Linked DNA regions of Nothobranchius furzeri. The protein of the gene in region 7 purifies or fractionates together with the protein of the main gene of each other region. This does not show direct contact. Links are inferred from orthologs where the notes say so. Each region holds a gene or a part of one and is shown on either strand. Other genes may lie near its edges. The genes, in order: snap29, vamp8, vti1a, napab, stx12, vamp3 and stx6.

The links.
Region 1: the proteins of stx6 (region 7) and snap29 purify together in Homo sapiens (co-immunoprecipitation; 3 studies listed by BioGRID and IntAct, counting the BioPlex papers as one, with this or other methods). This does not show direct contact. The link is inferred for Nothobranchius furzeri from reciprocal best matches to the Homo sapiens genes STX6 and SNAP29.
Region 2: the proteins of stx6 (region 7) and vamp8 purify together in Homo sapiens (affinity purification with mass spectrometry; 3 studies listed by BioGRID and IntAct, counting the BioPlex papers as one, with this or other methods). This does not show direct contact. The link is inferred for Nothobranchius furzeri from reciprocal best matches to the Homo sapiens genes STX6 and VAMP8.
Region 3: the proteins of stx6 (region 7) and vti1a purify together in Homo sapiens (affinity purification with mass spectrometry; 3 studies listed by BioGRID and IntAct, counting the BioPlex papers as one, with this or other methods). This does not show direct contact. The link is inferred for Nothobranchius furzeri from reciprocal best matches to the Homo sapiens genes STX6 and VTI1A.
Region 4: the proteins of stx6 (region 7) and napab purify together in Homo sapiens (affinity purification with mass spectrometry; 3 studies listed by BioGRID and IntAct, counting the BioPlex papers as one, with this or other methods). This does not show direct contact. The link is inferred for Nothobranchius furzeri from reciprocal best matches to the Homo sapiens genes STX6 and NAPA.
Region 5: the proteins of stx6 (region 7) and stx12 purify together in Homo sapiens (affinity purification with mass spectrometry; 4 studies listed by BioGRID and IntAct, counting the BioPlex papers as one, with this or other methods). This does not show direct contact. The link is inferred for Nothobranchius furzeri from reciprocal best matches to the Homo sapiens genes STX6 and STX12.
Region 6: the proteins of stx6 (region 7) and vamp3 purify together in Homo sapiens (affinity purification with mass spectrometry; 5 studies listed by BioGRID and IntAct, counting the BioPlex papers as one, with this or other methods). This does not show direct contact. The link is inferred for Nothobranchius furzeri from reciprocal best matches to the Homo sapiens genes STX6 and VAMP3.

Annotation. Positions count from the first base shown.
Region 1 is NC_091757.1:55,818,898-55,823,497, forward strand, and holds the start of snap29 (synaptosomal-associated protein 29), read right to left. Parts: upstream 2,979-4,600; 5' UTR 2,722-2,978; intron 2,027-2,721; coding exon 1,790-2,026; intron 1,552-1,789; coding exon 1,358-1,551; intron 472-1,357; coding exon 386-471; intron 305-385; coding exon 200-304; intron 1-199. Other genes in the region: pi4kab (phosphatidylinositol 4-kinase, catalytic, alpha b), read left to right, coding at 3,060-3,158, 4,491-4,600. UniProt on the Homo sapiens protein: SNAREs, soluble N-ethylmaleimide-sensitive factor-attachment protein receptors, are essential proteins for fusion of cellular membranes.
Region 2 is NC_091757.1:27,723,615-27,726,149, forward strand, and holds the end of vamp8 (vesicle-associated membrane protein 8), read left to right. Parts: intron 1-424; coding exon 425-589; intron 590-1,549; coding exon 1,550-1,732; 3' UTR 1,733-1,940; downstream 1,941-2,535. UniProt on the Homo sapiens protein: SNAREs, soluble N-ethylmaleimide-sensitive factor-attachment protein receptors, are essential proteins for fusion of cellular membranes.
Region 3 is NC_091756.1:39,753,690-39,758,310, forward strand, and holds the start of vti1a (vesicle transport through interaction with t-SNAREs homolog 1A), read right to left. Parts: upstream 2,823-4,621; 5' UTR 2,663-2,822; coding exon 2,569-2,662; intron 1-2,568. Other genes in the region: palmitoyltransferase ZDHHC6, read left to right, coding at 4,049-4,315, 4,434-4,525. UniProt on the Homo sapiens protein: V-SNARE that mediates vesicle transport pathways through interactions with t-SNAREs on the target membrane. These interactions are proposed to mediate aspects of the specificity of vesicle trafficking and to promote fusion of the lipid bilayers.
Region 4 is NC_091753.1:46,790,526-46,794,943, forward strand, and holds the start of napab (N-ethylmaleimide-sensitive factor attachment protein, alpha b), read left to right. Parts: upstream 1-1,368; 5' UTR 1,369-1,493; coding exon 1,494-1,591; intron 1,592-2,262; coding exon 2,263-2,537; intron 2,538-3,680; coding exon 3,681-3,727; intron 3,728-3,823; coding exon 3,824-3,901; intron 3,902-3,999; coding exon 4,000-4,055; intron 4,056-4,418. UniProt on the Homo sapiens protein: Required for vesicular transport between the endoplasmic reticulum and the Golgi apparatus. Together with GNA12 promotes CDH5 localization to plasma membrane.
Region 5 is NC_091751.1:25,520,325-25,524,147, forward strand, and holds part of stx12 (syntaxin-12), read right to left. Parts: intron 2,831-3,823; coding exon 2,693-2,830; intron 1,876-2,692; coding exon 1,832-1,875; intron 1,648-1,831; coding exon 1,545-1,647; intron 1,463-1,544; coding exon 1,390-1,462; intron 230-1,389; coding exon 147-229; intron 1-146. UniProt on the Homo sapiens protein: SNARE promoting fusion of transport vesicles with target membranes. Together with SNARE STX6, promotes movement of vesicles from endosomes to the cell membrane, and may therefore function in the endocytic recycling pathway.
Region 6 is NC_091743.1:51,782,852-51,786,674, reverse strand, and holds part of vamp3 (vesicle-associated membrane protein 3), read right to left. Parts: intron 3,064-3,823; coding exon 3,000-3,063; intron 2,775-2,999; exon of another isoform or gene 2,617-2,774; intron 2,261-2,616; coding exon 2,102-2,260; intron 1-2,101. UniProt on the Homo sapiens protein: SNARE involved in vesicular transport from the late endosomes to the trans-Golgi network.
Region 7 is NC_091748.1:80,943,767-80,947,589, forward strand, and holds part of stx6 (syntaxin-6), read right to left. Parts: coding exon 3,810-3,823; intron 3,587-3,809; coding exon 3,492-3,586; intron 3,419-3,491; coding exon 3,347-3,418; intron 3,244-3,346; coding exon 3,100-3,243; intron 3,025-3,099; coding exon 2,918-3,024; intron 1-2,917. UniProt on the Homo sapiens protein: SNARE promoting movement of transport vesicles to target membranes. Targets endosomes to the trans-Golgi network, and may therefore function in retrograde trafficking.

The DNA.
Region 1 (4,600 bases), on a different chromosome or scaffold from region 7:
GGCATTATAGACCCACATGGCAGCACAAAAGAATGCAAATGGTGAGTTTTGCATCATGTCTCCAAGAATCGCAACTAAAGTTAAAAGACATTCTACTTTTATTTTTAACATTAACTTTGGTATTTCTCATCATGTGATTAGAAAATTGCACAATTTAGTCAAGGTTCAGTATAATATAACAGAAATGAATTATTTTTACCCAAATTTTTATCAAGGGTGTGGTGAGCCTCCTTGAGGTAGCTGTTCTGTGGGTATCCATTCTGTCCGGATGAGCCAGAATCCAAGGATGAAGCTGCTCCAAAACCTGGAACACAGGAAGGAGAAATGATGACGGCTGGTTCATGGGATGATTAAAACATACCCAGGTTCATGTGCCAACGCCCACCTCCTGTCTCCAGTTTTCTTAGATTGGGGTGGCTCGCTTGGTATTTATCTTCATGTTCTCTGCTGCTGGACATGGCCTTCTGTAATCTGAGACAAAAAGTACAATTCAAAACAAGAAATGAACTGAAATTTCCAGATAATGATCATGTTCTGGATTCTATGATAAATAACGTTTGGGGCTACTTTCATTAAACACATGAAGCACCTTAGTACATGTGCTAGAGGTGAGGGAGGAGCTACACCTCACCTGTAGTAACCTCTGAAAATCCTCCAGCAGTGCTTGGTTTGTAAATTCAGGGATACTTTAGAAATAAAACAGTAACTTTAGGTCAACTACTGATACTATGAGGTGTTGGTGGCACAGGAGCTCAGTGCTCGCCCCGTAATTAGAAGGTTGCAGCTTCGAGCCCCGCTCAGTTTGTCGCTGTCGTTGTGTCCTTGGGCAAGACACTTTACCCCCCTTGCCTGCTGATGGTGGTCAAATGGACCGGTGGTGCCAGTGCTCGCTCGCCAGACTTGCCTCTGTCAGTGCGCCCCAGGGCAGCTGTGGCTACATCGTAGCTCATCCCCACCAGGGTGTGACTGGGTGAATGACTGTGATGTAAAGCGCCTTGGGGGGTTATAGGACTCTAGGTGGCGCTATATCAAATACAGGCCATTTACCATTATACATTTCTAACATTTTGTAGCGTTGTAGCTTAGAAGGTCTAGTAAATGAATCAGTTGTATTAGTATGAAGTCAGATTTCAACTTTTAATCCTAATAATTATGATTCTTTAAATGCTGTAATATTTTATAACTTCTATTCCATTAAGCTTTAGAACTTGATTTGCATTCAACTTTAAAATAAAAGTTATTGAATATTTGTAAAAATGACAATAGCAAAAGCAGTAAAAAGTCTAAAGTGTTGGACCTGCAACAAATAAGAAAATGGTATTGATATGACAGCAGCACAGGAGTGACTGAAACGTACCGTTCATTGGTCTCGTAGGCTTTTGGCTCTTCAGGGGTTGGCTTTGCATCTGGCTTACCCTTGAAGTAATTGACAAGACCTCCCCACACACTCTTGATAGAGTTAATATGCTTTTGGCTGGTTTTCAGGTCCTGATCCATACCCTCCAACATCTTGTCAGCCCTCTTCAGAGCTTCACCTTGTCGCACCAACTCCTAAACACATATACACATAAAAATAAATGAGCAACCGAGGAAGGATATTTATGGATGCGGTGAAAGAGGATGTGAAGTTAATGTGAGGGTAGAGAATGCAGATAGGAAAGGACTGAATGACGACAGACAATTCACCATAGGGACCATTGAAGGCAAAAGCCAAAAGAGAAAGAAGAACATTAAAATAAATGAGCAAAAAATGGATGAAGAATGCATGGATAGATGGATGGACTTATACCTCTGCAGTTTCCACACCCATCTTCTCAGATTCATAAATGAGACCAAGGGAACGATGGCTGCTATCCACAGCAGACTGTGCTGTGCGCATTACTTCCTGTCGGAGATACCTCTGCCTCCTCTCAGCGTCAGACAGCCCGCTGTCATCAGCTTCACCATCAAAATCCCTATTTTTAGGCTTAAATCCTTCCTCCTCCTCGTCATCAGCAAATGGATTGTGAGATTTTGGGTAGGCCATCTGAAAGTTAAACGCACAGTGTTGACAAAATAATATTATCTAAAGTCTTAAATATATGTCAACAGGATTAAGTGTGCTCATCTGCTGTATAAAAACCACTAAGCAAAGCTTTTGACATTAAGAAAGTGAAATAATATCATGTTGTGAGAAACTGAAATAAGTCATAAAAGAAGTGATTAAAATCCAAATAAGTCCTCATAAGTTACTTTTCTAAAAATACACGTGAGAACACCTGCCAAGATAGATAATAATATAAAAAAAGTAGCTTGTAACGTATTACAGTCCCTACAACATAACGACAACTTACCATTAGCATCAACAGATAAGTTGACACATTAATCTGAAAAAAGTTTAGCTGTATTTTGAAAAGAACTCTTTTCTACTTTCAACAAGTTTCAGTCTTCACAGAAGAAAACATGTTTTAAATGATGGGTGGCTCCAAGCAGTTCACTGCTGTATGGCACCGGTATTATACAACCTAAAGACAATAATATTTGTTGTTCTGTGTTGTTATTTAATAGGTGTTGGCTAGCATGTTCGAGAAGATACTGCTAGCAGAACTAGCCGACCCACACGTCAAACAGCCACACCCGAGAGACAAAGCCGCGGTGTAGTTTGACTGTAAACACCTTTTCAGCTATGAAATAGCATGTGCCAAACGACACCCTAAAAATGATAATTAAAACGACACTCACCTTCTGACTGTCGATAACTCAGTGCTACAGATGAGCACTGTGTCACGTTGGATGACGTAGTGGTGTGCCGTGCGCAACAAAAAGTATAAAAGTACTCCTCGTGTATAAAATAATATAAATAAAAATTTAAAATATAAAAAATTCGGATGGGATATGTTTAACTTAGCTTACTTGGTTAAATAAAAAAAAGTAAATAGCTTCAATATATTGAATGGCGCAACATGGAATTGTCCGTGTTGGGCTTCCGTCCGTACTGCGGTATCCTAACGCTAGTTGCCGCTGCTCTGCCGTTTCCTCTTATTGTTGAATCATAACGCTGGCTTGATGGAATCGTAAACATGTCTTTAATGGGAGGCAGTACGAGAGGGTTTTATTTCAACACAGTTCTATCGCTGGCCCGCTCACTTGCTGCTCATCGTCCTGCCCCCGTCGACAAGGTGAGGAAAAATCCAGAGTAATTTTCTCTTGACAAAAATTAGCATAAAATTAGCTTAGGTCGGAACAGTAATGACCACTGGTGTTTAGGGTGTTGCTCCGCTTCCGCACGCCCAGGCGGTGCCTTATTTTGATTACAGACAAGATTAACGTTTGACAGTTCCGTTTATGTTTGCATTTAGAAGTCACCAGTACGGGAATTAATGTTTCCCTCTCCCGTATCAGAAGATAAACGGGCTGTTGCTGCGCTTGTGTGGTTCCTGCTACTGCATCACTCAGGCGGAGTAGCCAGCCTCGCTGCGGTCAAACAGGTTTACAGATGAGGGGGGAAAGTGCTCAGCTGGTTGTGGATACTAACCTGTTCAAACTACAGGGTGGAGAATGAAGAAGATTTACTTCACCACTTAAGAGAAGCTCGCACGAGAGTCGATTTGATTGATTTTGTTGAACCAACTATCCACGCACTCCATTATCTATTGTGTATTTAGAGTTTTAGCTAGAATATCAAACAGGTAATAAAACATGGAAAATTCATGTGTATTAATAACGGGTTGAATACAGTACAAATGTTTTTTTTTTTTACAAAAATCAGAAATAATTTCAGTTACATTGTTGTAAAATTTCAGTTATAAGACAGGTAAATATTGGATCATGCAGGTGTCGTAAAACAAGAAACACTGCAACATTTGAGACTGATACTATAAAGAAATAGCAGAACCCTTGTGACATATTATTGACTTTTAGATATAAAGTTTATTTGGAAAAGCCACAAACCTTTAATGTCATCTTTAGGTTTTAACTTAGTGATGCATTTTATGGCATAATTACCACAAACTTCCGCAAAACCCCAGTGTTTATTTGCTCCCAGATCTCGTAAAACGTTTAAATACTATATAATAACTTTAAATACTGGTATTTTAATAATGCAATGTGCAAGTTCAGTTAGTGAAGGAAAGTGTAATTAGATTGAAAAATTTCATTGTTTTGAAATGACCAGATTACCTTTTTTCCTTCTCTTTCGTGGTCGTATAACATAATTGCACCTACTAGACAGATCAAACAATGATGTTCCCACAAGCTTATATATGCGCTTCTCTTTATTAGTCACTCTTATTAACCCCGATGCGCCCATCATTGCCATCACAACCTGAATTGATCACATCTCATACTTTTAGGTTCCAATTTTTTACTCCCCCATAGACTGAAGCTTTTTACCTTATTTCATGTGACCGATGGGATGCTCTTACATATTTCCTGAGTAGATCCAGGCAGTGACCTTTTTTAGTAGAGGCGGTGGATATTTCGTTCATCTTAATCTTTTTGTGCTCTTTCAGGTTCAGAAGCTACAATGCATGTGTCCAGTGGAAGTCCGTGGTGTGTTCAGTTTAGATGTGCGTCGCCGAGATGCTGTTATAGCTCTGGCAGTGTTTCTGGTAGAGTCTGG
Region 2 (2,535 bases), on a different chromosome or scaffold from region 7:
ATTGACATTGTGAAACACCCTCTTTGTTTACCAACTATCCCATCTCCATACTTCCTGGTTCTAGAGCCAATCGTATTAGAGCCTGCAGGATTGCCAAATCCTTAACCCAAATGTTGCTGCATTCGTATTCTTAATCTGAGACCAGCCAGCAAAAAGCAGCACTGTTGTGGAAATGTTAGCCAGTAACGACCAGGTCCACCATCCAGCTTTTCAGGAGGGGAGAGCTACTCCCCACTACCACGACTGTTTATAGTGGGGATGGTGGGCTGCTGACCTCGACTCAGGGTGTTGTGGATCTGTGGGTGGAGTACTTTGAATACCTCCTCAATCCCACCAGCACGTCTTCCAGTGAGGGTGCTGCTGGTCCTTTGTGCAACAGTCATTTGAGCTTGTGCAATAATGACCTTTTTGCACACTTTTGCAGGAGCGAGGAGGGTTTGAGGATGCAGCGCCAAAGGACAAGGTTCAGGATCTGAAGAACCAAGTGGATGGAGTGAAAGAAATCATGACGCAGAACGTGGATCGGATCCTGGCCCGTGGAGAGAGGCTGGATGACCTCATGGGCAAGTCTGAGGATCTCCAAGCAGGGGTCAGTGTTACCACTGGAGAGTGGGGGTCTTACCTGCTGGTACTGATACCAGTACTGATGGCACCAGTAATGTTGGCTGAGCCGTGGCTGGTTTTGTGAGTTTATTAGTGGTGGTGTTTATCTTGAAACATGTTGTAGATGGTGATGGGCCTTATTTTCAAATGACTGGCTTTTATTTATATATAAAGTAAACTTTTTTTAAATATATTTTGAACGACCAATATTTTTGGATGTGCTGTGTTTGACTGTTGATGCTCCGTGTTTTTATTTGTGCATCGAGCCTTAAAACCTCACCTCTTACCGCCCAGAGTTTCTTCTTTAAAACTCATATTAAATAACGAGCTTCCTCCACACCGTGTTTCATCAACTGTCCCAGGGCAGCAGTTCAGCAGACTTGTTTGTTTACATTTTTGCCGCTGCGTGCCTGCACAGTGTGAGAGACGGGAGGGAGGGGCGACGCTCTGTTCAGCATCTCTACGGGCTCCACAGCAGCAGCGGCAGCCAGCTGGTTTGATCCGCTCTGAAAGGCGTTGATCAGGATTTGCAGATCACATTTTTTTAACGGAGATCAGGCGCATGCAGGCATCATGCGTCACTCAATACAGCGTCCATGTGGAAACTTGCCTAGGAACCTTTATCTGCTGCTCTTAATCATGCAAATTTATATAGATTATCGGGGAAAAAAGTTGATTTGTGGGTGACTTGCTCTTTAAATGTGTTTCAACCATGCCGATGGTTTCAACAGACACACTCGGGCAGAAATGTGTTGCTTTCCCTTCACCTGCAGGTTGTAAATATTCAATATATTCAGCGTAATTAAATGATTAACAAGAAGCAGCAGGAACTTGGAAGCTGTGCGTGTTCCTTTTTAACAGGATCTTGTTTTTGCTGTCCAAACCTGCAGCTTCGACCTAAAACCTGGACCATCTCACACCTGTGTGTCTCTGATCTCCTCCTCAGGCTCAGACCTTCAAACAGTCGGCTGGTAAAGTAGCTCGTGCCTACTGGTGGAAAAATGTCAAGCTGATCGTGGTCATCGTGGTGATTGTCGTCATCATCATCCTCGTCATCGTCCTTCTGGCCACTGGAGTGATTCCTACCAGTTCATCCGTGGGTCCGATCACCCCCACCACCAAGCCCTGAACTCGTGTCCGTAGTGACTCCATGAGAGCAGAAACACGTCGCTGTTGTAAACTCAGTAATATATCAACTCTATGAAAAATCACTTTGGTTTGGTGAATATTTAATATTTCCTCCGGTTACTTTCATGCTTTTGTGTAACGCACTGTAATGACACATAAGCTTGTGAAAATCATAAAAATACTTTGAATGACCGAGTCTTCTGAACAAAGTTCTCTGACTTCACTGTTTTTTTCCATTTGAACACCAGATTTCATTCTGTCCCTAACTGTTTCTGCTCCATCGTGACAAAGAAGGAGTTTGTAGATAAAGAACGAACTCCTTCAGTCTCGTGTGTGACGTCATCCAAGGTGGCAACGGTGAAGCTAGCGCTAACTGGGCCAGTGGTATTAGGAGAGGCTGGAGCTTGGGATGAACTCTGTTCCCTTGCCAGTAGTTGTGTTCGACATGCAGCGTGTAGGAGCCTCGGCTCTTTGTGCTACAGCAGCAGGCGGGGAGGTGAAACGGTTTCTAACACAACAGTAGGTTACTTACCCACATTTTAGGTTTTTTTAAGTGTGTTTGTTTCTTTGTTACTTAACGTTTAGCTGCTACTCTTCTGCTGTTTAATGTTCAGGGTCTTCCAGCCTACCAGCTGCAGAAGATTATTTATTCCCCTTCAGACCGCCCTCTGCTGGGCTTCTCTTAACCAGTAACCAGCTGGAACTGGGATTTCTAGTTTATGGGTCTTTCATTTTTATTTATTGTAGAATGTCTTGTTTCCACTTCCTCGTCTGTGTGCTGTTACAGTACCAGTAAAACCTGAA
Region 3 (4,621 bases), on a different chromosome or scaffold from region 7:
TTTTCCTCAGTAGAGTCATGGAGATGGTGTCTAACTAATGAAGTCATCAGATGAGAGGCAAGGAAAACTCTGGACAGGTACCCAGTCCATCACAGGGACACACAGTCACACACTCACCCGTAGGGATAATTTAGCCTCTACTTAACCTGCACGATTTTGATCCGTGGGAGGAAAGTGCAGTACCTACCCACACATGCATGAGAACATGCTAACTCTACACTGAAAGGCTGTGCAACATTGTAGGTATAATGAGGCAATGATAAAGCAGGAAAGGCAAATTTGTAAAACAAATTTACTTAAAACATTGTTTTTATGCCTCTTAATAACATTGTAACACAGTAGAGCTGTAAATATATTGTAGAGATTAAAAAACCTATATAATTGAAAGAAACATGGTCGTCTCTGAAGCCGGAAACATTGCCATGGTACGTTGCACTGGTGATGTTGCATCCAGCTGGTCCAGTAGAGCCAAGAGCCTTTCTTTCCACTTCCTCCAAGTAAAGGTTGGCTACAATAGGTGACACGGGGGAGCCCATGGCGCAGCCATGTTTTTGTCTGTAGCAAATCTCTTTTAAAGGGAGAGCACCCAGCCACTGGTACAGATATGCGGATGACACCTGGGTCAAAATCAAAACACAAGAAGTGGAATCCTTCACTACGCACATCAACGCCGTGGACAAAAATATCAAGTTCACCAGGGAAAACATAAAGGACAACTGCTTGCCTTTCCTGTGCACTTTGAAGAAAATGGCAACCTCAACATTGAAGTGTAGCGGAAGCCCACACACACGGACCAGTACCTCCTCTTCAACTCACATCACCCTCTGGAACACAAACTTGGAGTAATCAAGACCCTACACCACCAGGCAGAACATGTTCCCTCTAAGCCGGAAGGGAAAAAGAAGGAACACACACATATAAAGGAATCACTTAAAACATGTGGCTATCCTAATTGGGCATTGATAAAGTCAGCAAAGATGCACAGAAAAGAAGACCAGACACCAGCGAGGGAGGATAAGAAAGACAGACGCAACAACCTTGTCAACCCCTATGTAGCCGGTGTATCAGAGAAACTCAGGAGGGTTTTCTCCAAAAACAACATACCGGTGTACTTCAGACCCAGCAACACACTCAGACAGAAACTGGTTCACCCGAAAGACAAAACTCCTAAACACAAACTGAACAATGTGGTGTATGCTGTACAGTGCAGCGAGGAATGCCCAGACCTCTACATCAGAGAAACCAAACAGCCACTTCACAAGCGCATGGCACAACATAGAAGAGCCACCTCCACGGGACAGGACTCAGCAGTTCATTTGCATCTAAAGGACAAAGGTCACTCTTTCGAGGATGCCAACGTTCACATTTTGGACAGAGAGGACAGATGGTTTGAAAGAGGAGTAAAGGAAGCCATTTATGTCCACTGTGAGCAACCATCTTTGAACAGAGGCAGTGGTTTACGACACCAACTGTCTGCCATCTATAATCCAGTTCTGAGATCTCTTCCCAGATGCCTCAATGCCCACGCATATCCTGGGCCATCTGACCTCAGGAATTCACATGATAGGGTGGGGCCAGGCTTCACAATGAGCTCACCCGAAACTCTGGCTGTTTGTCTATTACAAAAACTGACTCTGGATCTGTACAATAAATAGCCCAATCACATCGATAGGGCCTACTCTCGCGAGAAACTGTAAGGTTATATAAAACACCTTCTTTGTCATATTATATTGGAATGAGAAGTCGTTTATAGAACGTTATTATCAAATTTATAATGTACGATAATTTGTACTGAAAAACGATAATTTAGGCCTCTCTGTACAATATTGTGGGATTTTGGATCTGGCAACACTGACCCACACCCACCCTCACACCTGGGCTCATGTGTTTATGTAGAAGATCATCAGGGGGTCTTTTGTTCCCTCTTCGGGGGAAACTCCCACTGGGTTTGAATCTGGGACTCTCCACCATTTGACCTTAGAACTGAAGAAGCCTCTCGGATGAGAGGTGAAACATCTTCAAGCAACTCAAAGAAGTCCAGACGCTTTTCTTTCAAAGCTCCTTAGACCAAAAGCATATTTGAAACGTTCTGTAAAGCTGACTCCCTGTCTGTCGTGTTTAAGAGGAGTTTAACTATCTTTCTGTGAACCACTACTGACAGAAGTCTGACTGAACACAACAACAAACTCTTCAAAATAAAGTAAATCTTCATGCAATAAAATCAGCCAGCTGCCAAGATGTTATGCTTATATCAAGTATAAATTCCTGACACGTGTATACTCAGTTTGAATTATTTTGCTGGATTACAGAACAACTTGGAACAAACGTTAAACCAGAAAAAATACTTGAGAGCTAAATTATCACATGCTAAACTACAAACTCACAATCTGCCAGTGATGTCCACGGTGTCGTATAAATATCTAGAACTCAATAATTGCGTAACGTTGGGAATGTATTGCAAATGCATCACATCTCCTGCTACCATTAGCTACCCCTCTCAGCTGAGACTTGATGGCTAATGCTAGCTAGCATCTCACCGATTAATAATAGTAAGTTCAACTGTCTTACCTCCACTTAGTTTAGGAATTTTGCCGATTTTGTTAGTTATTTCTGCGGTGACTGTTCCAAAGTCCTGTTCGTAGGCTTCGAAGTCAGAAGACATTCTGTCGAACGAGTTTAAAATGAGTATTAGCTATCTGACTGTCGGTTACCTCAGAATAATAACAACAATCCCCGAATGGAGTCTCTTCCTGTAGTTGCACTGAAAACAGCTCGACGAGAAACTAGAGGATTTGTTTGATAGTACTAGTTCGATACGTGCCGAATGCGTTTACCTCTCCATTCGAGTTTTTCGTAATATTATTTTTTAAAAATTGACAATTTAATTGTTTGCATTTAAACGTATCTGTAATAGTTTAGGGATTTTGGCTTCTGAAGCACGGCGAGAAAGGTTCCTAGTTCGTCCACCGGAGAAAATCTACGGCAAAAGACAAGGAAGTGACTAGGTTGGTAATTTAAAGTGACAGTTTTTTCGCCTCTCACAAATTTAAATCAAACACTTATCTTTAATAATATTAATAATAGCTTCATATCCGCGTGTCATCTTTGCGTTTTAGGGTAACAATAATGCTTTAGAGGTTAGTCGTGTTGGCAAGCTGGCTAACTAACGTTAGTTCGCTAACTGCTGCCACTAGATCCAAAGACCGAATATCTATTTTTATATATTTATTAACCGAGTAGGCACTCTGATAATCACACATCTACAAAATATATCCGATCCTGATTGGTCGAGTTATACTAGCTGACAGAAATGCTGACTAAAGAGTCGCCATGTTTATATCACTGTGTCAAATTAGCTAGCTTGGTAACAGAAGCTAATTAATAGTCAATGTGCAGGTGCTAATGGTGTGAGGTTGGATACTCATTTAAATATTTTATTTTGTTTAATTTAAAACCAGATAGATACTTGTTGCATTTAGTAAAGTGGAAAAGAAAAGTTCCTCATGTTTAGTGACAGTATTACCATCAACAGAAGAGGAAAAGATTTGCTACGATAGAAAATGAGAGAAATTCTGCATAAATTATGAATCAAACAAGATATGATCTACTGAAGGATGCTGCATCTCTCAAGTCTAAGCTGATTTTTTTATTTTTCCGGGGAAGAATAATTCTTATATGCATGCTTGCCTCCAAAGTACTTTACATTTACACACTTGCACTTTAAACAACTATGTTAATGTTTTTTTTTTTAATTATTATTTTATTTCTGTCTAACAGATGGGGAACTTTAGTTTCTCACGAGGATAGTGTGCTTCGGGTGTTGGCAGGAGACGATGCTGGTCTTCACCGGGTCATGGATTAATGGGACACAGGGAGCCCAAGTTACTCAAGGCCAGGACGCTTGCTGGGTACTCGGTAGAAGAGATGAATTATGTGCATTGTGTGCACCGTTAACAGCACAAGGTAGCAGAGGAAGCGCGTAGCACATCCAACGTGGGTCAATACATCTCAGAAAAGTAGAAAACTGAACTAATCTTCATGTGAGAAAATGAATTTCCTGTCAACCATTGTGACATTCGAGAACCTTCATGAGGTTCGAAGATTGTGCCACTGGGGTCCAATCATAGCTTTGTCTGTCATAGCTATTTGCTCAACCATGGCAATAATAGACTCCATCATTTGGTACTGGCCGCTAGACACCACAGGAGGAAGCATTAACTTCATCATGCTCATCAACTGGACTGTGCTCATTCTCTACAACTACTTTAATGCTATGTTTGTTGGACCTGGATACATTCCTCTGGGCTGGAAACCAGTAAGATTTACTCGTTTTTATTAGTGACTTTTACATAAACGTTTGAGCAACTTTTGCACAGTGTGTCCTGAAGTATAGCAAGTCTGGTATCTGACTTAACAGTTTCATTTTTGAACAGGAGAATCAGCAGGAAGCCCAGTATCTGCAGTACTGCCGAGTGTGCCAAGGGCACAAAGCCCCCAGATCCCATCACTGTCGAAAGTGTAACAGGTAAAAGATGTGCGTGAAATCTGCCAAGGTCAATTTCACCTGTGTGGAATAAACAATATTTGCTTTTAAAAGCTACGTGCTGGACCTGGCTACTGC
Region 4 (4,418 bases), on a different chromosome or scaffold from region 7:
CGGTAGCAGTGCGGTTCGTGTCTGCTGAACAGTTAGCAGATATCGCAGCTTTGTAGCGGATATTGGGATTAATGGAGAAATTGTTACATTGTAACAAACTCACCCGAGACGTTAGAGGTGCAGGCAGCGCGGGGTCTCCAGGACAGCCTCGCACGGGCTGCTCAACAGGACCCAACTACTGGCAGGAAACGGCAGACTTCCGCTCTGCCTGATTGAAATCCATGTTGTTTATCGAGACTTTCTTTACACACAAATACCCATTCGGAACATTAAACGGTTTTTGAACATTTTTGTTGTGTTAATTAGTGCATTCTTAAATTTGACATATTCTTCATGTTAACTTGTTTTCATTTTTAAAACTCAAAAAACATCAATAGAAAGGCAGGAACAGCAGAGGAAGCCTGTGGGGAGAAATTGCTTAAAATGAAATCATAAAAGAAACTGGATCACAAATGTAAAAAAATATAAAAGCAGTCATGTTAACAAATGCCAGCAGATTTGTTAGATAAATGCAACCCAGTCTTGAACTGCAATCAGATTATATGATTTTGGCTAAGAAAAGAACAAACTAATCTACAAAAAGCCTAAGCAAAATACTGTAACATAATCTACAAGAAAACATTCCTTTTCCATATTTTAAATAATTTTTGTATAGTTCTAAAATACGTGATTATTTTTGTAAATTTTAAAAAGGTATTTGAATGTTTGACTCATGTAGTTACCTACCACAACCCATAGCCCTAAAATATGTTTGTCATGTATTTTTCAACAAAATATTTTACACACATTTAATTCACTGTGCTATAATGCAAAGCCTGGAAAACCACTTAACATAGTTGTTATCTATTATTTATGTTAAAATTGTAAAGATTTCAGCTGACAAACAGTTTCATTATGATGCTAACCCATTTTGATTAAAAATGTCTCTTTATAATGGAACTGGCATTGACTAAAGGAAAGCATTTTCTTATTATAATTCTAATCAATATTCCTTTAAAACTGCACTTTTGAAGATATTTACGCTATTACGTTTTATTACAACATTTATGCTTAAATATTGTCACCTTTAATGTCTGATTGCTTATAGAAAAATAATTGGCTGTTGAAAACAGATAACACAAGGGAACTGTTTTATATAGATTGTCATGAACGCACTGTAATGATCCTGAGACAGATTAGAAGCGATTCCTTTGTTTCTACAGCAAATATTAACAACGAACATGTTTCTTAATTAAATTATCGATTGATATATTGTGTTGCAGCATGGTCTACAATCAGTTTATAACATGAAACATTATAGATTTGTAATGGACCAACTCTGGACCGTACGAGCAGCACCTGAAGGCAGCAGGGCTGTGACCGCCCTCCCATTGTCACGTGACAGAGAAAGCGCTGGCTGCTGATGTGACACTGCTGTTAGCAATACTTAGCAACTTTGTTGACTTTAGTATTTTTTCGCCCCCCTTTAGATTCAGAAAAACAAGTAAAGCAGAATGGATAACAGTGGGAAAGAAAAAGAAGCTACAGCTTTAATGGCGGAGGCGGAGAAGAAAGTTAAATCATCTCAGTCGTTTTTCGGGTCGCTGTTTGGGTGAGTTTTAGTTAGCTGATGTTTAGCTTCTGCTTTCAAGCTGAGGGCCAGCTATGCGGAAGGTGACCACCTAACACCAGGGCTGATGGCTGGGCACAACAGGACTGGAGCTGCTGTTAAGATGTTGTGGTATTGAGAGTATTTGTCTACGGACGTAAGGTTATTTCCCCGGATTTCTGCTGACCATAACGTCTGCAAACAACAAAGACTAACACGTAGCCGTTTATCCCAGTAAACTGAGAAAAATTACACTGAACAAACCGTTGTTTGACATGGACGATAACAGAATACTAAATTCGTTTTTATTTAAGTATGACTGTAAAAAAATATTTTTTTAAAAAGTGTGATCACATTAGCTCTGCTGTAGCACCATCTGCTGGCTGTTCCGTATTGTGCAAATCGTCACAATGTTTACAGTAGAAACCTCAAAGTTGTATCAAATCTAATGAAAATTATTTATTGATATTTGCCTTTTGCCATAAAAATGTTGGTGCGGAAATATTGTCATTATTGGACAACAATCTCAACAGATGAAATACTATCTACTATTTTTATTTTGAAAAGTAATTACTTATTATCCAGTCTTGTTTATTGCATTTACACGATCCTAACCTGCTAATAACCAGTATCTTATAGTTGTTGTTTTTTTACACGTTTTTTCTTTCACACAGGAGCTCCTCCAAGCTGGAAGAGGCCTGTGATCTGTATGTGAGGGCAGCCAACATGTACAAAATGGCCAAAAACTGGTGTGGTAAGAGGACAGTTACTTTCCCTTCCTTGTGCATATCTGTTGATATGTTTTATCTTTTAATTTGTGTTTTCTTTTCAGCTGCAGGAAATGCGTTTGCTCAGGCTGCTCATCTTCACCTGCAAATGCAGAGTAAACACGATGCAGCAACTAATCTCATAGATGCTGGAAATGCCTTCAAAAAAGCAGATCCACAAGGTAAGAGGTCACTCAATTTTACATGGAGCTCTTTGTAAAAGGTTTTAAAATCTGGAAGGAAATACATTTTTGGACTTTTTAAAATTAACTTCATATAAAGTGCAGCCAATCTAATTAATACCTGGTTTGGCAGCAAGTTTGATCCCATGACTGTGTACACTTATCTACAGTCTTTAGTTTACCCCATACTAGCTTAGTTCCAAGCATCTTGTGTGTCTGAAATTTAGCTGTCTTCTATAGACTTACCCCTGATCGAGACTCTTTATTTTTAAAACTAAGGGTAGTTTTTATACATGCAGATTTTGAACAACATCAATGCCTGTTTGCAGCAGTTTATTTGTGCCTGTGCAGGTGGCACAACTCAAAACTAAATGTGATATAAGTAAGATGAAACGTCAAAGACAAATACCAGGAATTCTTGAGCAGTCAGAAATGTTAAACTCCTCAACCTGTGCAGAAGTTTCTGGGTAAGCCTGATTCTGATGTTTAGGGTAAATGTTTCCTACAGAAGTGCATTTAAAGACCAAGTTCACTGAGAAACTTTTTTTTACTTATTATTATGTAAATATGATTGGAAGCTCTGAGTTTTGTGTACAGGCTGAACGTGAAAAAAGTCTTCTACCCATATTTCCTGCATTAGTCGCCCATAGAAAATAGATGGGGAAATGTTTGAGTTAGAAAGTACAGTCAGCTCTACATCAAGCTGTGAATTAACATTCATGGACTCGCCCATCTTGGCTCACGACGGGGGAAGGCTGTTGTTGGTTTAGCACCCAGAAAAGAGCAGAGCTAGTAGACACTAACTGTTAGCATGAGCAACTCCACAACATAGCAGAACTCCTTTAGGCTTGTGTTATTTGAGGAGATAACATATCAGTGTTGCAGAACAGTCAGTGGTAGAGTTGTGTTAATGTTAGTCAATCAGAGGTGAGATGTCCGAACATCAGGAATTCTGCTCACTTCTGCTTCCTGAAACAGGAGCATGAGATGTTGTTTCACAAGCCATTCATGCATTCTAGAGATCACTGCAGATGTATTGAGAAAATGAGTGAACTTTGTCTAAAGTCTGTTTTCTGCAGTGGAAAGAAATTTCCTTTTACTTATTTCTTGTCATTCACTGAACTGATGTTTTTCTCTCAACAGAGGCCATAAACTGCCTAAACCGAGCTATTGAAATATACACGGATATGGTGAGGTTTTTAATACAAATCCCCCTCCTAAGCTATTATAGTTTTATTGATTTGTGTTTTTAATTTTGTTTCGTCCTTGCTCCTGTGTAATTTTAGGGTCGTTTCACCATCGCTGCTAAACACCACATCACCATCGCTGAGATTTATGAGACGGAGTTGGTGGACATCGACAAGGTCAGAGACACAGCTGATGGTTATCACGTTGTTTATATTTGATCAAATGTTTACATGGTCATTTGAATTTTTTTTTTTCGGGGGTGGTGGTGTTTCAGGCTGTTGCTCATTATGAACAAGCAGCAGATTATTACAAAGGCGAAGAATCCACCAGGTAAATATTTGACGTAACACATCTGAGCAATACTTCTGTCCACTTTTGGGTTTAAAGGGAGACTAGGCAGTTTTGGCTTGCTTTTAGCACCCCCTAGTGCCCAATTAGTAGAAACAAAAACAAAACCTATCTACTTGCTGTGCGTTTTTCTTTTTAACACCTTGATCTAACAGCTGAAATGTCTCCCCAGCCTTCATTAGTGTCTACAGGACACAAAATTCATCAATAAACTAAACAGTTTAGCTGTGTTCATGATCTAAAACATGCAGGAAGCATGCTAGAACCAGACTGCAGCATCAGGTATGTCGGCTCACCTTTTCCCCCCGGACTGGCACTCTGAAGTTGCAAATGCGGTATTCTGAC
Region 5 (3,823 bases), on a different chromosome or scaffold from region 7:
TCAGAAACAGGCTTGACTCCTTTGTTTCGGGGTTCTCACCTTTGCAAGAGTGAAACCATATTCTAATCACCCGCATGCCTCTTGGTGAGAGCATTTTTCCACCACAGAGGTTCTTTAACGACAGAAGATGGAAGAGAAGAACTCACCTGATACATAGCTGCCCTCTGCAGCTGCTCTGCTCCTCGTTCCACGTGAACTTCAGCGTTCTCCACATTTGCCTCGATGCTATCTGCAGCAGAACACAAGATCAGCTAACAGGAACAAGACAAAGCTGCCATAGAATCCATGGGCGTCATTTCTTTTGCCCACCCCTTCAGACAGAAGGATGGAAATGGAATAAATCAGGAGCATGAGAAGGGTTCCAGATGGCTACCGTTGCCCCTGATGACTCAGTCACTATTTTCATGGAAAACCTGTACATTTTGTGAACAGCGACACAAGAGTGAGGACCTCCCTGATGCTCAGGAGAGAGGTGAGAACTAAAGGGTGGCGACATTTCAAATATACTCATTCTGGTTAAGGTCAGGAGGCCTAGCAGGAAGCACAGACCAACCTTTCCCCTGCCACTCCCACCAGCTCCTCCCGTGGGACAAAAGCAGTTCCCAGACCAGGTCAGAGATACATTCCCTCCAGTGCACCATGGGTCAACCTGGATGGGACATACCCAAAACACTTCCCACAGTAGGGATCTTGGCCAAATGCTCCAGTTAGCCGCTCTGGACATGGACAGCAGTCCCACTCCGCAGGTTGTCTGATCTCTGAGGCTGGGCCCAGACACCCTGCAGAGGAAGCTCTTTTTGGTTCTCTGGCCCTGGTGGAGGAGCCGTGGACGCCTCAGAGACAGCAGCTGAGAGACAGACTCATCAGCCTATCTGACACTTATTACTACCAGAATTGTCCTAACAGACTCCTTCAAGATAATTCCTTCTCCATACGTTTTTCCATCTACACCAAACAAGAGGTTTAATCAACTCCAGGAAGACTGGGATAGACAACATTATAAAAGTGTTTGATTCACTAGGTGAACCCGAAAAACGACTCTTCAATCAACCAACAAAAACAAACATGGCCTCCTGTACATCCTTAGGTGATTATTTAACAATATCAAATGGCCCAAGTGGCTGGGGAGAGGGAAGTCTGGGCCTCTCTGCTTAGACTGCTGCCCCCACGACCTGACCCCGGATAAGTGGAGGGAAATGAATGGATGGATGGGATACATATACTGATCCAAACAAAGAAGTGGATAAACTAAATACCACAGAATTTATTACAGGTGGAAAAAAATCCAGTAGCCAATCACAAAGCTTCTTTAAGACCAATTTTTACAAGTACACACATGGCCACCTGACCCAGTATCCAGAATACTGCAACCAGTACAGAACCACTCACCAATCATCTCCCCTTGGTCGTGGATCATCACAGCCAGGTCCTTAAAGATCTGGTTCACATCCATGATGTCAGACTGAAATTAACCAACAGAAATCAGCTGCTGGTCCTCCAGTTGGTAGTGATGTCACAGGAGGTAACAGGAAGTGACGTCTCACCTCCAGCTGTCTGATGTTGGTCTCTCTCTCCTTGATCAGCTCCAGGTCCTCCTCCGTGACACCGACCTCCTCTGTCTGAGTCAGCTGACCAAAATCCTCTTGGCTTCACAAAAACAAAGGATAAAAGAAAGTCTTGTAACTTTTACTAACCCCTAAGTGATGAGAAGCACAGCCATCGTAGCCATCAGTAGGGACTCCAAGCTCAACAATTATAACGACTCATCCTTTATTCACATTTAACTCTTTGGTTACAAAGTTCCTCGAGAGACCAGATGGAAATCGCTTACTTATCAAACGAAACAAGCTTCTCATCACGAAAATTGTCTTCTGCCTAAAAGAGAAGACAAAGACACACGTTAGCCGATCCATCCTCAGTACATCAACAAGTGATTTCTGCTCCCAAGCAGAACATTTGACCTTTGACCTTAAACAGGAAGCTTATGCTGGGAAACCCTCCAATGTGGCAGCATTTAAACAATCCTGCAGAGAAGAGTGGGACAAAGATCCACCATGGTGATGTGAGAGGGTGTTAGAGCTAGCTTCCCAGTTTATTTTAGGGTTGATTTGAAGATTTGAATTCTTGTTTTTAAATGTTTGAATGGCCTTGCTCCCTCTTACTGCCGGTTTATCCCAGATCTCATCTCATAACCTGGGGCAACAGAGCCGCATCCTCTTGGTATAAGGAAGGCCAGAATGTTGGAAGATTTTAAACCTCGTTTCAAGACCCATCATTTTAAATTGGCTGTTTACTCCAGCTGATCAGAAACTGCCAAGCCGCCTTTTCTTAGCCATTTTAGGTTTGGTTAAGTTCTTGTTGACTGACCTGTACAGCACTTTGGTCTCCTTGTGATATATAAAGGGTTACTATTATTATTATTATTCTCTTACTTTGGTGGTGTGTGTGTGTGTGTTAAGGCTGTATGCTGTTGTCTCTCACAAATGTTTTTGGAGTACTTCAAATACTACCATAGTTTCCATTTTAGCACAGGTTCCAGTGGAAAACAACTCCTGTTTTATGCTCTTTTATTAATCACAATCAACATACATACATAAATAAACAAACAAATAAATAAATAAAGATTCCAATTCTGGGATCAGTCCAGTACATATTACCATTGCCTTGTCAATAACAAATAATTGATCCTTACCGATAGTCGAGATCCAGCCCTCGCTCTGGCTATCGACTCCCTCTCTTTCTCTGCTGCACGCCGCTGGACAGCCTGGAAGTTGTTGAGAGCGGCTGAGAAGTCATTCATGAGCCGCTCCCTCTGGATCTTCTGCTGCCTCTGGACACCACAGAACCAGACATCAATCATCCAATCCAACAAGCAAACCCAAACAAGAGTCAACAGCACAATCTGCCAAGGAGGTTTGGGAAGTTTTTCATGGAAGCAACCCACACACTCCACTGTTCTACAAATGTTTCTCCATTCAAGGAAACAGTCACACTTATCAATGATATTAAATTTATTACAGGAAGAATGTTACAACAGAGAAACATTGATCCTTAAAAGGGCTAAATAGCTAGCAGTTAGCTTAATTAATTCACCAGCTGTCAATGAAGAACACAAGAAGAAGAAGAAAAAAGCTTGTTTTTGTCAGCACCATGGTGGAGCCTGGAGGTAATAGTTGGAGTGTTTTGTCTTTGGAGGTGAAACAAAGAGCTTAAACCAGAGTGAACCTCACCATGGCCTACACTCATTGGAGGAAGCTAAAGGAGGCTACGAAATCACAGACTGATGGTGACCTGACTTTGTTGCTACTGGATTTTAGTAATATTATTTTTTGTCCAACAGTGTGGACATTTTTAATTTGGGGCTTACTTAGTAAGACTTGCCTCATGTTGGTGCTAGCTTGTTGTTAGCGCTAGCTACAGCAGCCTGCTGCAGGGTTGCTTACAACAATTGTAATTCCACTTTGAACCAGTAGGACGGAGAAGCTAGAAACTGTTTAGTGTTACTTTACAAACCCTTTGTCCAGAAGTCGAGTGCTGGGTTTTAGGATTGCTTCGAGGTATAAATAGGTAGCTTACTATAAACATACCAATGACAGCAGACTGGAAATATGCTTTTCTTATCATGTATTCAGTAAATATGTCAACATGAAAACTCAGAAGAACAACACAGTAGTTTTCCAACTTCTGTAGAGACAAATAAGACAAGACTGTATGAAGTAAACTTACAGTGGCTGAAGAAAAACTAAAGCAACATCACAGTAATAGATGTACTGTAACTTTATTATTATTACTGTCTGGCTAGATCAGACACAAGATTTTATCC
Region 6 (3,823 bases), on a different chromosome or scaffold from region 7:
TTTTGGAAGGCTGGCTGACTCCAGTTAAAAACTGCCACATTTCACCGCTAGTTTTAACATGAAGCTAACGGCTAACTTGATAAACTGATTCAATGGGATAGGTGGAAATGACGTTGGATGCGGCGTTCACGTTTCGCGTACGTTTGTGTAAGTTGCATGCAGGCGGGAGGAGTATCAGAAATCCGTGGAAGATGACTGATAAACATAACTACAGGTGCTGGCCAGTAAATTAGAATATCATCAAAAGGTTGAAAATATTTCAGTAATTCCATTCAAAACGTGAAACTTGTACATTATATTCATGCAATGCACACAGACCAATGTATTTCCGATGTTTATTACGTTTAATTTTGATATTTATAGGTGACAACCAATGAAAACATCAAATCTGGTATCTCAGAAAATTAGAATATTCTAAAGGGCAATGAAAAAATGTTTGTTTCTCTAATGTTGGCCAACTGAAAAGAATGAACATGAAAAGAATGTGCATGTATAGCACTCAATACTTAGTCGGGGCTCCTTTTGCCTCAATAACTGCAGTAATGCGGCGTGGCATGGACTCGATCAGTCTGTGGCACTGCTCAGGTGTTATGAGAGCCCAGGTTGCTCTGATAGTCGTCTTCAGCTCCTCTGCATTGTTGGGTCTAGCGTATTGCATCCTCCGCTTCACAATACCCCATAGATTTTCTATGGGGTTAAGGTCAGGCGAGTTTGCTGGCCAATCAAGGACAGGGATACCATGGTCCTTGAACCAGGTGCTGGTGGTTTTGGCACTGTGTGCAGGTGCCAAGTCCTGTTGAAAGGTGAAGTCTGCATCCCCATAAAGTTGGTCAGCAGCAGGAAGCATGAAGTGCTCTAAAACTTCCTGGTAGACGGCTGCATTGACCCTGGACCTCAGGAAACAGAGTGGGCCAACACCGGCAGATGACATGGCACCCCACACCATCACTGACGGTGGAAACTTTACACTGGACCTCATGCAACGTGGATTCTGTGCTTCTCCGCTCTTCCTCCAGACTCTGGGTCCTTGATTTCCAAAGGAAATGCAGAACTTGCTTTCATCAGAAAACATAACTTTGGACCACTCAGCATCAGTCCAGTCCTTTTTGTCCTTGGCCCAGGCGAGACGCTTCTTGCGCTGTTTCTTGTTCAAGAGTGGCTTGACACATGGAATGCGACACCTGAATCCCATGTCTTTCATGAGTCTCCTCGTGGTGGTTCTTGAAGCGCTGACTCCAGATGCAGTCCACTCTTTGTGGATCTCCCCCACATTTTTGAATGGGTTTGTCGTCACAATTCTCTGCAGGGTGCGGTTATCCCTAGAGCTTGTACACTTTTTTCTACCACATTTTTTCCGTCCCTTCGCCTGTCTGTTAATGTGCTTGGACACAGAGCTCTGCGAACAGCCAGCTTCTTTAGCAATCACCTTTTGTGTCTTGCCCTCCTTGTGCAAGGTGTCAATGATTGTCTTTTGGACAGCTGTTAAGTCAGAAGTCTTCCCCATGATTGTGGTGCCTTCAAAACAAGACTGAGGGACCTTTTAAAGGCCTTTGCAGGTGTTTTGAGTAAATCAGCTGATTAGAGTGGCAGCAGGTGTCTTCTATATTCAGCCTTTTCAGAATATTCTAATTTTTTGAGATACCAAATTTGGAGTTTTCATTAGTTGTCACTTATGAATATCAAATTTAAATGTAATGAACATTGGAAATACATTGGTCTGTGTGCATTGCATGAATATAATGTACAAGTTTCACGTTTTGAATGGAATTACTGAAATATTTTCAACCTTTTGATGATATTCTAATTTACTGGCCAGCACCTGTAATTTGGTGCAAACATTTACTCGCCAGGTGGCAGGTAGAGCTCAAAAATTTACTCGCCAAATGGAGCAATTTACTCGCATTTGGCGAGTGGCGAGTGTTAATTTCGGACCCTGCTCGCATCCATCAGTGCGCCCCAGGGCAGCTGTGGCTACATTGTAGCTCATCCCCACCGGTGTGTGAATGTGTGTGTGAATGGGTGAATGACTGATAGTGTTGTAAAGCGCCTTGGGGGGTTCCAGGACTCTAGAAGGCGCTATATCAAATACAGTCCATTTTACCTTGCAGTTCTTCCACCAGTACTTTCTTTTCAGTTTAGCAGCACTGGTCTCAAACTGGGAGGCCCCGGCCTGCAGAGCATCTGCTCTGTCATCCAGGTCGGACAGCTTCTGATCCCGTTCCAGCACTTTGTCGACATTAACGCGCATAATATCCACTACCTGTTCAAACGAAACAACAGTTAATGCTTCTGCAGAGACAAGCTTCAGGAAATAAGCAAGTGTAGCGTTACCCAACCCCAACATACACATCCTGAAAACATGAATCACATACAGACTTTATTTCACTAACAGAATTCACAATGGGGCAGGTAAACGTGTGTGTATCCACAGTGTCACTGGGTAGACACGCCCATATGTTCCACTGATCCACAAACCTCACTACTGCCCCTCCCCTCTGAGTAGTGGAGGAGTGTGTAAGCCCATACAGGCCTTACATAACCACTGAGACGGCGATTACATAACCATCTGACAACCAATTGGAGAGTGTGTGACACGCTTAGGTTAAAGTTCTGTAGAGGAGGGGTGGACCTCAAGGGGAAAGCCAAAGAGAGAAAGACGGGAAACTGGGATTATGGGTAGAGACTTGGCAGTGTTTTTAACCAATGTCCTCATCGACACAGTTATGAATCTTTAAACTGAAGAGGAGAACTGTGGTGGCGTCGCCATGTGTTATGTAAGTTTCAGCACCAGACAGAAGCGAGGGGTGTGTGTACGAGCTGGTTGATAACGATATCAATAAAAATGCCTTCAGAGTGTTAAAGAAGCAAATAAGCCACATCTAGAAAGCAGAGTTAAAACATAATTTAAAAGTAGCATTTCCACAAAAGTACTAATATATTTTTCTGGTAATAAATCCTCAAGTTAGGATTTTTTTAATTCAAGCTAAACTTTAACTTACTTCATCCACCTGGGCCTGAGTTTGCTGCAGGCGCTTGTTGCTTCCTTCTGGGCCGACGTTTGACCTGATGAAGTGAGAAACATGATATTTCCCATAAATACACCAAATAACATTAAGCTGTGAGCAACATTTTTATTATTAATTGGCTACTTTTTAGAGTGGATCGGTTTCACCCTCACTAAAGCACCCTGGTATGAGCTAAACTGGAAACACACAATGGCAACCGTGATAACTACTGTATGATTTTCTTGTGTTTCTTTGAAACGTTTAAATTATGGTTAGCAGCTTTGAAACTAGAAAACAAATAAACAGATTATTTTGTAATTTATTAAAATTGATCACTATTACAGGACAGCGACCTGGGTCTCTTTGGTGTGTGTTAGGGCTGTAGCGAAGCCTCGACGAAGTCGACGGCTCGATTCTAAAAATTTGTCGACGTCAGATCCGGAAGTCGACGCACCGCGCCCACTTGTTGCATCCCCAGGAGTTTGTAAATAGAGGAGGAATCTGCCTGTTTTTCCTCTAGTTCGCCCTCTTCTCTGCCTTCACTAACATCTCCGCCAAATACCGAAGACCCGGAACAATGTCCGTCCACTACTAGATTATTTTCCTGTTTTGCCCCTTCGTCTCCCGGCAACGGACAACAACTTCCGGGGTCAGATGTGCGCTGCTCCGTCTCTATCGCAGATGTAGAAAATCACCGGGAGCGCTTCTCCCTTCATTAAGGAGCTTCTTTCAGACATGAGGAGAGCTGTTTTGGTGGTAGCAGTCTCTCCTCCGTGCTGGTCTGTTTGCTGCTGTGTGTTTTTGGTTTATTTAAACTT
Region 7 (3,823 bases):
TCAGATGTTCAGATGGGAATCATTTCTTGAGTGATTTAGCTACATCTGCGATGTGCGTAGAATAAAGTGTCAGTTCATCTGCATGCGTCGGGGTAATTCTTTCTATTCTTTCTCCGTCAAAATAAACGGTCAAATACGGGAACTGTCCGGTCAACACAACACAATCAGAATCAGAATGAATTTTATTGCCAGTGCTCCAGATCAGAGCATAGGAACTTGACTCCATAGTACAACCTGACCAAGGTTACACACACACATATAGACAGGACAGATACAGGCAGACCATGGGAGCAGCCATGACGGCGCTCCTTTGTAGAAGAATGAGGGAATACATGAGGAAAGTTCAGGGGAGGGAGAAAAAAGGCATTAACAGGGTTACACCAGCAGGGTGCAGCACTCTAATGCAAAAAAAAAACACCTGACATGTAAGCACGAACGTCACAGTTCACAACATGAGACCCGGTAGGTAGGGGGGAGGGGCTGGGACCCTGGTTTCCTCAGCGGGGGCTGCCTGTGGCGCTCAACCAGCTGGCTCCGCAGGTGGGAGGGAGGTCATGGGGAAGCACAGAGAGCAGTGAGTCCTTTAGCTTAATGACCTCGGTAGAGACCACAATCTGAAGGCGGGGGGGTGGGGGGTGGATAGAGTTTCACAGCATTTGTCTGCATTCCTTCCATTGTGGGGGTTTTTGCACGCAACTCCAAGGCTGCTTTTGGCGTCAGATTCAATAACAGAACTTTGTTTGGGTCAGGACGAGATAATTTTCCCTCTCTGCCTTAAGTCTGTATTGATCATTCAAGTCCTCCAGTGAAGCCAATTCAGTGATTAAACATCTCCACACCGTCCGGTGACCCTTTCCGAGATGTTATCAATCCTGCGCGCTAACACCGGTAACGCAGCTAAGACATTGTCCAGCTTGCGATTCACCTCGAGCAACGTCCCAGTCTGTGAGGTATCCACACGGACGGTGCTGTCCATGGTTGCGGGTCGCCCTCCAATCGCTCCCGTCATCCCAATTTTACGGAAAGCCAGATATCCTCCCACTCCTATCAGAAGAAATCCAACGATCATCAGGCCAAATATCCACATATCTTCGACGTCCTCAATGGACAGCTGAGAGAGACAGATGATATTCCACTTCTTCCAGGAATCGAACATATATCCCGCTGCATGTGTCCCCTGAGGACAGGCGCGAGCCCCCTCCTCCGTCCCCATTGTAGAAAAAATCTTATCAATCGCGTTGAATGACCAATTAATTAAGTCCATGCTGAAAAATGGTGATTGCAGAGGAAATGCAGAGAAGCGCTCTGTAGGCAGACGGGACAAAAAGAGCCTTGGGGAAAATACAGATAAGGGAGGAAAAGGCAGAAGCGACTGCTCCCTGTGAGTGCCAGAAGAAGAAGAAGAAAAAAAAAACAGATATGCAACAGACTTCAGACAACACAACATAAGTGTCTACTAGGTGGGGTGGTGGGTTGGGACTATCCCCACTCCAACTCCTGCAGCCACGATAGAAGCAGCACATGTCACCTCAGTGTGGATAGGGGGAGGAGCATTGAGGGTTGGAGTGACCCTGGAACAATTCAGCGGCCTTCCCACTGTGTTGAGTTGCCATAGCGACGGCACATTCCACTTATCTTCTGAGGGGGGAGTTTTTGTTGTAGCCTTGCAGGCTCAAGGATGCCAGATTCCGATTAGAAATTGTTTTGGGGCCAGACAGAGATAATTTCCTCTCTGTCTTAAAGTTTGATGGTCCTCAACCTCTCAAAATCCCAATAATGGACATTAATCTATCCCAATCCATGCTGATTCGTCCACTCTCTCCTTGATATCATCCATCTTTTGAGCCAAAGAATGAATGTCGGCCAAAGTCCCAAGCTTACAATTCATCTTGACAATTATTTGAGTCTGTGAATTCACAGCGCGGTACAAACCATCTCTGAGCTCCGGGATCCGGCCAATATTCCTCGACAGCTCATTAATTTTCCGGTAAGCCAGGTAGCCTCCAATGCCGACCAGCAGGAAACCCGACACCAACACCACGAATATCCACACGTCTTCAGAGTCCTCCACAGACAGCTGGTCTGTCCCGGAGGGGCATCCGGGAGCCCCTTTCCCCGTTCTCATCGTTGAAAAAGTTTTAGCAACCGCGTGGAGAGACCAACTGACGAGATCCATTTTAGTGAATTTCAGTTTCCAGTTTCCAGAAAAAATGCAGAAGCAGCCGTGCACCCAGCACACACAGACAGACAAAGGCCTTGAGGATAAGATATGGAGGAGAGGAGAAGAAAAGCGTCTGCACCCTCCTAGAGCCGGAAGAAGAAACTTCGGATACGAAGGTAACCATGTAGAATTATACTAGTTGAGCAACTGGAAATGTGCATGACTTTTATTTTGAAAGTTTCTGGACATTTTAAACAGCTTTTGTGTTTGACTTCCTGGCTGCCTTGATTTGAACTGCTATGCTTGATGTGTTCTGGAAGTGTCGCTACAGTGTAGCTCATCACCACCAGTGTGTGAATGTGCGTGCAGGAACGACTGGATTTGCTGTAAAGTGCCTTGGGCGTTGTAAAACTCTAGAAAGCGTCATACAAATGCAAGTCATTTACCATTTCTGCTAAAATTGGAACACTACGGCCTGTTTTAGTAGAAAAACATTCATTCGAACCGATTTAGTCACTGTCTTGTAGGCGATATAAGAGACATCCAGGCTGACTGTACTTTGAACTACGGGAGCCCAACAGAGGGAAAAATCCATATTTTCCTAAATTAGATCTTCACAAATGGAAAATTCAAATTAATCAATAAAATTGATTTACCTCCCAGCTTTAATACACACATAGAAATGAATGCATGGATCTGAAAGATCTCTGGAAACCAGTACTGCTGGTCCAACCAAGATAGTGTTTGGATTCTTACACAGTCTGCTCATCCAGCTCCATGCCAATTCGCTCTGACATGTTCCTCAGTACCCCGATGGTTCCGGACACCAGTTCCAGTTGTTCATCCTGCTGTTCTGCAATCAGCTGGAAAACACAGACTGCTGTGAAACTTGTTCTATCCAAAGACTGGGTCTTGGTGCTGTTCAGGTTTTCTCCTACCTGCTGCTGCACCTGCTGCTCCTCAATGAACTGAGAGTTGGCGTTCTGCAGCTGATGGTCCAATCGGCCATACTTATCAGAACTAGACTGCCGGATGGGGCCCTGGGCTCCACACTCCCTGAGCAGAACCTCAACAGGAAAAGTCAAAACATAGAGAAAAGCTCCCCAATCATCATCATCTTCATCCTGTGAATCATCTGACTCATGGGCACAAGTGCAATAAGAGGAGTTGAGAGTAAACAGCTACCTGTTTGTTCTGTCTGTCAGCCGGGTTTGGGTTTGGGTTAGCAGCTGGGCTCAACATCTGCTCTTTCATGTCCTGCAAAACAAGGAGACCATTTGACTTTAGGCCCAGAACCCCAACCCTGGACCAGCTCTGGTTTTGGACTTACCTTGACCGAGAGCCTTGTACTGGTGATGAAGGCCCTCCTCCTCATTAGCTCTGCTGCATCTAGGTGGAACTTCTTAGGGTTGGACACCACGATGCGTTCACATGTAGTTAGAAAATGTTTTATTTTTGTTTCAGTAAAACACCTAAATGACCACCATGTGGTCACATGACAACCCTATTCATGTGACCATGTTGTTAGTTCCTTTCTTTAGCTATATTCTGATTTTGTGTTGATGGAGCGAATGGTTACTATGGTTACTGACTAGCTTCCTGTTGGGACCAATAAAAGTTATGAGACCAATTCAAAGGGGAAGGATATTGATGGTCTCGTCA